Caenorhabditis elegans: one gene and its partner. The protein of the gene in region 2 purifies or fractionates together with the protein of the main gene of each other region. This does not show direct contact. Each region holds a gene or a part of one and is shown on either strand. Other genes may lie near its edges. The genes, in order: unc-16 and lrk-1.

Region 1 (4,872 bases), on a different chromosome or scaffold from region 2:
ATACAAAAAAACCAACCTGTGAGATCAGCACCGAGCAAATCGTTATTTTCCTTGGGATCTCTGAAAAATTGGAATAGATTTCAAAACTCTTATATAAATTCCTAATAAAATTTTAAAATCATAATTAACTTACACAGAAGTTGTCTCGTCAGCTTCTTCCTCTTCTGATTGTTTCGGTGAAGCAGCTTCTCGTTTAGGAGTCGGCTCTTTGGTTGTAATTGGTGAAGTCAACGCATCAGCAGATGATTGTGGAATATCCCTGGGTGATGGTTCGATATCTGATGAGAATTCGTCTTGCCAGTCTGGAAAATTAGTATTTTAAGATTTAAAAGAATGAGGGTTGCAATTTCCATTGAGAAAAGGTGCGGAGCGGGTTTTTTTTCACTTTTCAACAGGAAACATCGTACGGAATACAATTAAAAATGGTTTTTTAATGGGAAATTTAAAATTTCTTTCCAACTGAACTGGTTTATTTAAGCCAAAAAGGTCTAAAAATTGAGCAATAAACCAATGCAGTTGGAAAATAAGTGAATTTACAGAAAAAAATCCGTTGGAAATTTCCTGTTAAAAAAAGTTTTAAAAAAACGCGCGGCGGTTGCGAAAACCCGTGCCGCACCTTTGCAGCATGGAAATCGGAAGAAAACTGGCATACCAATAAAGGTTAGTTGAGGATTCGAGTTCATGTTAGTTAAAAATTATCGGAAATAAATAAATAAACTAAATTTTGCGATATATAGAATTTTTTGTATTTTTACATATTTGTGAAGGGTCGCGTAAAAAACTCACCTTCGTTTGTGATGTGATTTGCAAGATTAACATCCATCGTGGTTGATTGTGTCATATGAGCAGAAATAAGATCAGATACTCCACGAATTGATGATGCATCCACAGAAGCAGCCATGCCCATTCTGTAATTTAAATAATATCTTTTAAAAATTAAAATTTTGATTTTAGGGGACCGAACCAAGTTATTAAAGGTGGAAGAAGTGTTTGCCTAACAAAATTCTTTTTGGAAAATGATAAAATTGGGAATTTTGCTTTAAATTGTATATCGTAATGAGCGAATTTATACAATTTTTTTAAACAATAAATATAATTGAAGCATTTTCAAAGATCTATATCGTTTGCGGGAATTTAACAACAAATATCGCATTTTTTGCAAAATTGGAGAAAACATAAAAATTTAGAAAATTTTTTTAAACAGTAATTATGATCTCTTTTCTGACATTTAGAGCAGTGATAAAAAATTTGGAAAATCAAGAAAATAAAATAAATTCAAAAAAATTGGTGATTTTTATTTCTTCATGCGCTTCAAAATTTGGAGTGAAGTGGAGGATAACCAAATCGAAAAAAAATCAAAAATTTGAAAAATAAAAAAACCTTCCCGAAAAATAACAAAAATTCCAGACACAAAACTCACAATGACAAATTACTTTGATCACCACTCTTATGTAAGCGATGTGATATTGGAAACCAACTACAAACAACGACACAACAGTCAAATATTAATCACTTTTTTAAATTTAATTAAATTAAACTTACTTGTTTCGAAGTTGCATATTTGGCAATGGCATATTCTGCATTAATTCGAATTTTTCACTTCCCATTAGATATTTTGTACGTTCCATGTGATCTACATGGGTTCGTAATAGAGTATTATATCGTTCGTGGAGACGATCGAATTCGAGCTTTTGTTCCACTTCACGTTCTTCCAGACGACTGGCTGAAAAATAATACTTTTTTTAAAAATTTATCCAAGAAAAACACAAGAGTTAATAATTGAGGTGACAATTAACTAACTGTAACAAACTAACCGTGATCAGTGGCATTTTTGGCTTTCAACTCGAGCATCCTCATTATTGATTCAAGTGACTCTATCTTTTTGTCCAACTCTTTATTCTGACCAATCAACGTGTCTTCTATTTCAATATATTTCTGTTCTGTCTGCTTTCGAAGTGCTTTTTCACGTTCATATTGTGTCTGAAGCTGTTCATTGTCCTCTTTGAGCATTTCAAGTTCTGCAGTCTGCTCGTCACGTTCCAAATAGGCAAGATCCAATGCTTCGAGCACATTTACAACCAATGGCATCAGAGTCTGAAAATGTTTAGTTTATTGAATGATAATAGAGAAAGAGAGAAGAAAATTAGCATAAATTTACCTGCTGACTGGTTTAACATACTGAATTTAGTATTGAAGTAGAGTAAAAACATAGAATTTCAATTTCTGATCAAAAAATGGTCTAAAAAGTCCGAATTTCGTAAAAATATCATTTAAAAGTTCTTCAATTAATTATGACGATTCTATGTTTTGAAAAATATTTAACTATGAGCTAAAATCTACAATTTTGCATATTTTTCCGTGCCACAGCGGTCGGAAATTTATTTTCATTCGATTTTCGCTTATTTTGTCGTTTATCTCGTGTTACTTCGTTGAGTTTGGTACATTTGAAGCGATAGGCAACTAAAAATAAGCAAGATCGAAATGATGCTCAATAAAAATTCATTTCCGGCCGTTGCGACACGGAAAAGTTGGCAAAATTGAAGATTTCAGAAGAAAGAAAGCGTTTTTTTTTTCAAAACCATCAGTCTTATTATGAAATCCGGTTGTTTTGGGACATTTTTTGCGAAAACAGCCATTTAAATAAATTTTAAAGTAAAATTCCGAAAAAACTCACTTTCACGCCATCTTCTCCGTGAACTTTTATCATTGTTTCCAACTCTCGATAAATTGCCGAAGCCATTGTCTGCACTTTATCCGACATTGTTCGATGCTCATCTGGTGAGCCGGGGCCGCCGTACACAATCTGAGATAACATTTCTCCCATCAATATCGAATGCAGCATAAAAAAATCCTCCTATTACCCGTCCCAACTGTTTTGTTGTGTCTAGCGACAATCAATAATGAAGAGAGAAGTGCGGAAGAGAAACATAACGGTATTTACTGGCCGAGGAATAGTAGTAGGGGGCGACGATAAGAGAACCGAGATAACTATCGGGAGACGCTGCTGCTGCCACTCGGTTGCAACAATGGTTCATTTGCCACCACTTACCTCAGACGGTGTGCTGCTCGTAATTGAGTCTGCCATCTCATTCACCGGTGACAAATTGCAAGCCATTTTTTCAGTCGTTCTGTCGATTATTGGTCCATGTGAGAGCAAGTTGACGAGACAATTCTACAAATTATGTTGCTTTTGTGCTTTGCAATGAAAAAAGCTATGTAAATAAAGTGCCACTCCTTCGCCGCGGCGACAGAAAATCAATAAAAGAAGGCTGGGCGCATGTGTGAATCTCGTGGATGAGAGAATACGGTAATTGGCGGAAGAGGAGCGTTTTGTGCGTCACGCACTACACGCATGTCGAGTGGGTTTTGCCGTTTTGCGCTTCAGAATTTATTTTTCTATTGAATTCAGAATAAAAACACTTCATTAGAAGTTTTGCATGAATAGAATTTCAATTTGCGCCGCTATTACGAATTTTTATATAAACTCTATCAAAATTATGTGTTTCTTAGGCTATTTTTGCGTCAAAACCACGAATTTAGTGTGACAACATGTGTTAAAACAATGAAAAAACAAATACGAAAGAATCAGTTTATTACGAAATAAATCAACGTTCATCATTATCTTCCTCAGGATATTCCGGGTGGCTCAGGAACGCTAGAAGCACTTGCACCAGAGAAATCATCAGAACAATTCCCACTCCGACCTGAATTGTTGGATTAAAGAGAAAATCATGTCGATTAATATAATTTACATCCAGAAGCACAATGCAGTTTTTAATTGCTGTATGCTCGTGGGGAGCTTTGGCACTGAATGTGTACACGATGAAGAAGATGAGCGAAAGCAACGATGTGACTGGTGCTGGAGCATGATAGATGGCCAACTGAAATTTTTGTAGAATGTAAAATAACTTTCTAAAACTAGGAATTACTTTTCTTTGGCTCATTGCCAACATGCATTTAGATCGACTCAAAAACAACAGAGCGATGAATGTGATGACTGCGAGTACGAGGAAAACGCTACCTGCTGAGAGCTGAAAACGTAGAGTTAGGAACGTCTTTAAGATGAGAATTTACCATCCAAAATGACGCGAGTCCAGATACGTACCCCATTGGAATAGTTCCCTGGAGTAGAACAGTCACACTAATCATCTGAAAACCAAGAAGATTCCCAAATAATCTGCTGAAAACTAGAAACTCACAATATTTGCCACAATGAGTTTGTTCAAAAGCATATTTCTACTTTACAAAGATTTGTAACCGTATAACCCTTTTGCTAGATTTGAATTTAACGAAATGAGTAGGAAATCAAGTTAAAAGTGTTGTCTATTTTATAAATTAAAAGAACGTAGAAAAGGTCTTCACGAAGAAATTTAAAATTTATTCAAAAAAAAAAAATCAGACTTCTTTCTTGGCTTTTTTCTTCGGTTTCGACGAGGATGTTTCAGTTGATCCTCCACATTCTTCTTTGATCGTTTGCATTCCTTCGATACCGTTCAGTTTTTTCATGTCTTCTTTGCCTGAAAATGTGCAAATTTTTATTCTTCAGCATTACTATATTATCCAGATAATTTTGCGATTTTCGTCATGCTAATACGATACCCGGTCTCGATACGGCAAAGTTTTTGATAGATCCAAAGAGGTGTGCGCCTTTAAAGAGTACTGTAATTTCAGATTTTCGTTGTTATGGAATTTGCATCGATTTTTCATAGTTTCAGATAAATAAATAAATATTTAAATATCGAAAAACTAATAAAAGTCTAAAAATTCGAAGTACAGTACACTTTAAAGGCACACACCTTTCAGAATTTAACAATTGTAGCGTCGAGACCGGGAACCGTACTTTCTGGGTAAAAATTGCACAATTTCGCAACA
Region 2 (5,221 bases):
TCGAGCCGTCTCGATTTTGGAGATATTTATTAGAAATCCACGCAATTCGCCGGAAGTTCACGAGTTCATTGGTAGAAATCGAAATGTTTTGGTAAGTAGTTTTTCCAATTAAAAAATCCTCATCAAAATCTTCAGATTGCATTCTTCTTCAACTCAGCCCCAATTCACTACTATCAGGGAAGTCCAAATGAAAAAGAAGATGCTCAATATGCTCGGATGGCTTATAAGTTGCTCAATTGGGATATGCAGAGACCATTCACCCAGGAACAATTACAAGATTTTGAGGAGGGATGGACGCATCAAAAGAAAATGCGAGAAGGTTATTATTCATATGCAAGATTTTGCGATTTTCCCGCCAACATTACGGTGCTCGGTCTCGAAACGAACTTCAAAGAGTACTGTAGTTTCAAACTTTGTTTTCCTTATCCAGATTTTCGATAGTTTTTTCTCACGATTTTTGAAAATATATTTTTTTATTAAAAAACTTTGAAAAATCGACAGGGATTCCAAAAAGTGAAACTACAGTACTTTTTAAAAGTGCACACCTTTTTGTAACAAAAATTTGCTTTTGAATTTTTTCTGAAAATTATTTTTAAAAAATCAACATTTTCCTGATTTTTGAGAAAAAAAAACCGAAAAATCGAGAAAAAATGCCGACTTTCCCCAACGTTCTCATCATCTACAGTAACCCACATGGGGATGGACTACTATAGTTTTTAAAGGCGCAAACATGTTTCGTTTGTGCTAAATTTCAAAAAAGACTAAAAATACTTATGAAACTCGTCCAAACGTTTTTTTTTTGTAAAAACGACACCATTTTACAAAAATTGCTCATTTCTACTATGACCTAAAAGCCTAAAAAGCCCTTAAAAATTTTCAGAACAACTCGTCCGAACTTGCTTCCACGACAATAATCCAAGACTTCCGAAAGTGAATCACGTCTACCGTACCCGCATCATCCCGAACCAACAATTCCTCCGTGAACCATTAAAATTCGGAAATCCGTTCCGTCAATAATCTAGCTCTCCTATTTTTTTTATTCATATTTTTAATTTCAATTTCTCAGATATGCCATTTCATTTGATTGTGATGTGAAAATCTGTTTTTCCAGATATATTCCGACTAGATTTGCCATTCAATTTTCTGTGAATAAACCCGACTTTTTATAAAATTTACCTCCAAACACAGCTGCAACACTTCCACATTCTGTGACGACACTGCCGCATGGATTACTGTATCCTTGGATACGTGGCTTTGTAGAAGATGCTCTTCGAATTGTAATAAGTGACGGACGATTTCGATATGACCGTTTGTGCAGGCACTGAAATAAATTTTTATGGAAACAAATTTCAAAAGAAAAGTGGGAGATTTCTCTTCAAAAACTCAATTTTCATTATTATCGCAATTTGAATTCCCTCCGAAACAAGCTGCGAAACTGCTAGACCAATCAGCGACTCGATCCGCCGACTTTTCAACCAATCAAACGGAGTGGGCGGAGCTAATCGCTGAATGGTGTAGCAGGGAATTTCATACTTTTTTCGGTGTATCACAGCAAAAATATTGATCTACTAAACCGTTAATAATAAATAAACTTACATCAAGAGTGCAGTCTCATCCTCTTCATTTCGACCGTTGAATAATATTTCGCGGCTTTGTTTTCTGAAACATATAATTTTAGAAAAATTAAAAATTGAAAAAAAAACCCTGACTTTTCCATAAATCTCCTTGAAATTTCATAAACAACGTCAGCACTTCCAGATATGCATGCACTGATGATCATTGTGTGGGCTTCATTTAGATCTTCACTTTCTTTTTCTGAAAATTTACTATTTTTTCTAGAACCTTGAAAATTTTTTTAATTTTTTATGAAGACTGACACAAAAAAAAGACACTCAATTTTTTCTTCGAAATAAAAAAATCTTACGAATAGCATCAATAAGCTTTGCGGCAACCTCATTATGTCCAGCCATTTGAGCTAACTCCAATGCACAATGTCCTTCATTATCAGATTTCATTGGATCGGAGCCCAGTTCGACAAGCTCCAAAACAATCGAAGTTTCACCTGATTCGGCTGCCATATGAAGTGCGGTCTTACCACGATCGTTCACAAGATTTAGAGAATCTGGAATATTTTTCAAATTTATATTATTTCGAGTATTTCAAAAAAGAAAAGTATCACAGCTCATCCCACGCTTGTATTGTAAGCTTCTTTGAGCCCACCCAAATTCTTCCACGATGAGAAAACAAAAAAATAATCCAGTTTTTTGCACAGTTTTCATGATTTTGTTGGGTTTAGGGAAATTAAGAAAAGTTAAGAAAATTTTTTAAGAGAATTTTTTAAAAATTCTGAAAATTTTAGATTTTTCCAAAAGAAAGTACTGTAAATTTTTTATCAAAATAATTTTCATTAACCTTGAAATTCGTGAAAACCTTACTTAAATTTTTTAACATTAAAATTTTTTATTTTCTAGTAAATAAATCAGTTTTTTTTTCATTGACATGAACAAAACTTGGTAATTCAACTTTTAACAACAAATGCTTGAAATTTTTTTTTGAAAAACTAGAATTTAGTAGTGTTTACAACAGTAAATCCATCGATTTGTATCTAAAACAAAATTTTGAAAATTGGTAACTCTAGTTTATCATACACAAGGTATAGGCAAAAATGGTACAACCTCAAGAATTCTAGCCAAAAACTCTAGAAACTGTAAAATTTGTTCCTCGAGAAGTACAAGAGATGTGTGAATCTACACATCGCTAGTGTTTTATTTTTGATCCAGTATGAAATAGTTAGAGAGCCATGAAATTTAGATTTTTTGCATTTTTTTACAATTCTACGATTTTCAAAAAAAAAAACATTTTTTAGTAGCCGAAAATTTTTTTTGAAAAACCTTCAAATATCAAAAACTCACTAGGACTAAGCATTAAAATAGTCCTCAAACTATCCAGCTTCCCATTATGAGCAGCTAACATTAACGGTGTCCTTCCATGTCGATCAACCCGATTCCATACCCAAGGATTCACTTTGAACAAGTCGGCCAGCAGCTCCACGTTCTCGAATAATACTGCCTGAATAATATTTTCATTGTTTTCTAAAAATATTTTTTGAAACTTGCCTGTCTAACCAGTTGCATTGCATCCGAATTATCCAATTCTGAAGCTACATCGCTTGAAGATGACGGACCCCCACTTGAGAGGTCCATTTTGGATGTTTTCTGGAAATTTTATTGAAATAAATTTTATCCAAAGTATGTGAGAAATTGACCGGTTTCATGAAGAAAAATATAAACAAGGAAATTATTGTATGATGGTTTAAAAATTCAAATTTTGTCTAACAATTAAGGGATGAGGTCCTACCACGACTGAACAAAAAAATAGTCGTGCCTTTTTTGGAGTACTGTGGTTTTTCATTTCTCATACATTTTTCTGAAGAAATTTAATATCCCGTCCAAAATGTTCTTAATAAATTTGAATTCCCGCCGACACTAGCGGGCAAAAAATGAGGTTTTTATGTTATCAAAACATAGTTGAAAATTTAAAAAAAAACAAGATTTTATTTTAAATTATCTCAAATAAAAACTTTTACAGAATTTTAAAAATAATTTTCAAAACTTGAATAAATATTTTTTTTTTCAAATAATGTTGTTTTTTTTTGGAAAAGATGAAGCTTAGAGGAGTTAACTAATTTTTTTCTAAATTTGAGTGAAAATACATCATTTTGAAAATTTTTTCAATTAAATAAGACATATAATTTTTGAATATTTTGAGTGTACATATGACTTAAAATTTCAGGTTTGAAATTTTTATTTTAATAATATAAATTACTCAGAGAGCAAAACTCATTTTGCAACCTGTATAATTTATTTATTTGTTAACACATATATATTTCAAACAATAACATTTTCAAGTGAGATGAGCAAATATTTGATAAGAAATTGGTATATGTTACAATTACAACTAGATATATATACTAATTAAAACCAAAGAAAAACCAATCAATTTGATTACAATGTATCCATTTCTTTTTCATTCGGAAACATCAAAAAAGATGAAAAAGAGGATAATCGATGTTGACAGGGGGGAACACATTGGCAAATACTGGGGAGACATGCGCAGAAAATACGCTCTAATGAACCATCCGTGTGTCTATTTCTCTTCGATAAAGTGTGGGAAGGGTGGTTTGTTGCAATGAATTGGAAGAAAGAGAAAAGATGGACAGATGTCTGGGCACCCCTTTTTGGAACCTTTTACGAAATTGACACAGAAAATGAATTAGGGCATGTGACCTTTGTACCAGGTTAGGAAGAACTTTTGAAAAAATATAATCTATTTAAACGTGGGGTATTGGCGGGAGGAATTTGTTCAAAACTACTTCTGTAATGCTTAAATAATAAAATGTCATAGTAAAAGTTATCAAAAAAAATTGAAATTGTTAAATTTACAATCAAAAAGGAAGTAAACCGGAACATTTTTTCAACGAACTTTGCTTTCTTTTATTTGTGTTGCATTATTTTCTATTTGAGTATTCTAATAGTTTAAACCTGCAGAGCAGTTCTAAAATAATAAAAAGTCCGCTAAAAAATTCCTTAAAATTTTGACTGAAATTTTCGAAAAATCTGCAACTGTTTCTATAGTTACGATATTGGGTCATTCCAGCACCATGATAAATGTTTTTAGACTTAATATCTTTCAAAAAAACTAGTCAAAAGTCAACCTCTTTTACGTAGGCTAGGTTAAAGGGACGGATCACAGGCCTATCTGCCTGCCTTCAAAGCGACCTACAGAATGCCTACTGCAAGAGAAGTTCTTAAGCATCACTTATTGTTACGGACGTTAAAAATGAAACTTGTGTGATTTGGTGAAAAATCACTCAAAAAATAATTTTTTAAATTTTATTTTATTCTAAAAAAAATCTAAAATTGGTCTGAAGGTCAGAACGATTGTTTTAAATATTATATGAATTTTTGTAGAACCCCATTAGAAACTTTTTCAATTGAACGACGAAAGTTTCATCAGTACAAAATCTCAAACATTTTCCATGCCAGAGAAAGGGTATTTTAGTTTGAAAAATCTCAAAATTCATAATGTCTCCAGTGAAAAAGTTACTATGAAAATTCTCATCCATCCCATTTTTCGCCGTTTATTCAATGTTTAGTCAGCAGTATTTGACATGCCATCGATCCCATTTCTTTGTAAACTTCAAATAATATTGAATTTCACA

Evidence for each region.
Region 1: the proteins of lrk-1 (region 2) and unc-16 purify together in Caenorhabditis elegans (affinity purification with western blotting; one study listed by BioGRID). This does not show direct contact.

What each region holds. Positions count from the first base shown.
Region 1 is NC_003281.10:9,544,602-9,549,473, reverse strand, and holds the start of unc-16 (JNK-interacting protein), read right to left. Parts: upstream 3,180-4,872; 5' UTR 3,116-3,179; coding exon 3,050-3,115; intron 2,804-3,049; coding exon 2,675-2,803; intron 2,095-2,674; coding exon 1,815-2,094; intron 1,724-1,814; coding exon 1,543-1,723; intron 1,478-1,542; coding exon of another isoform or gene 1,421-1,477; intron 909-1,420; coding exon 787-908; intron 684-786; coding exon of another isoform or gene 653-683; intron 303-652; coding exon 134-302; intron 61-133; coding exon 17-60; intron 1-16. Other genes in the region: ZK1098.12 (DUF2975 domain-containing protein), read right to left, coding at 3,606-3,704, 3,753-3,881, 3,930-4,031, 4,075-4,149, 4,200-4,232; ZK1098.9 (uncharacterized protein), read right to left, coding at 4,396-4,517. UniProt on the Caenorhabditis elegans protein: The JNK-interacting protein (JIP) group of scaffold proteins selectively mediates JNK signaling by aggregating specific components of the MAPK cascade to form a functional JNK signaling module.
Region 2 is NC_003279.8:10,891,023-10,896,243, forward strand, and holds the start of lrk-1 (Leucine-rich repeat serine/threonine-protein kinase 1), read right to left. Parts: upstream 3,216-5,221; 5' UTR 3,204-3,215; coding exon 3,117-3,203; intron 3,070-3,116; coding exon 2,913-3,069; intron 2,123-2,912; coding exon 1,925-2,122; intron 1,816-1,924; coding exon 1,710-1,815; intron 1,660-1,709; coding exon 1,597-1,659; intron 1,322-1,596; coding exon 1,177-1,321; intron 1,168-1,176; exon of another isoform or gene 1,018-1,167; coding exon of another isoform or gene 881-1,017; intron 320-880; coding exon of another isoform or gene 136-319; intron 92-135; coding exon of another isoform or gene 1-91. Other genes in the region: mop-25.3 (MO25-like protein 3), read left to right, coding at 1-91, 136-319, 881-1,017. UniProt on the Caenorhabditis elegans protein: Determines polarized sorting of synaptic vesicle (SV) proteins to the axons by excluding SV proteins from the dendrite-specific transport machinery in the Golgi. Role in stress response.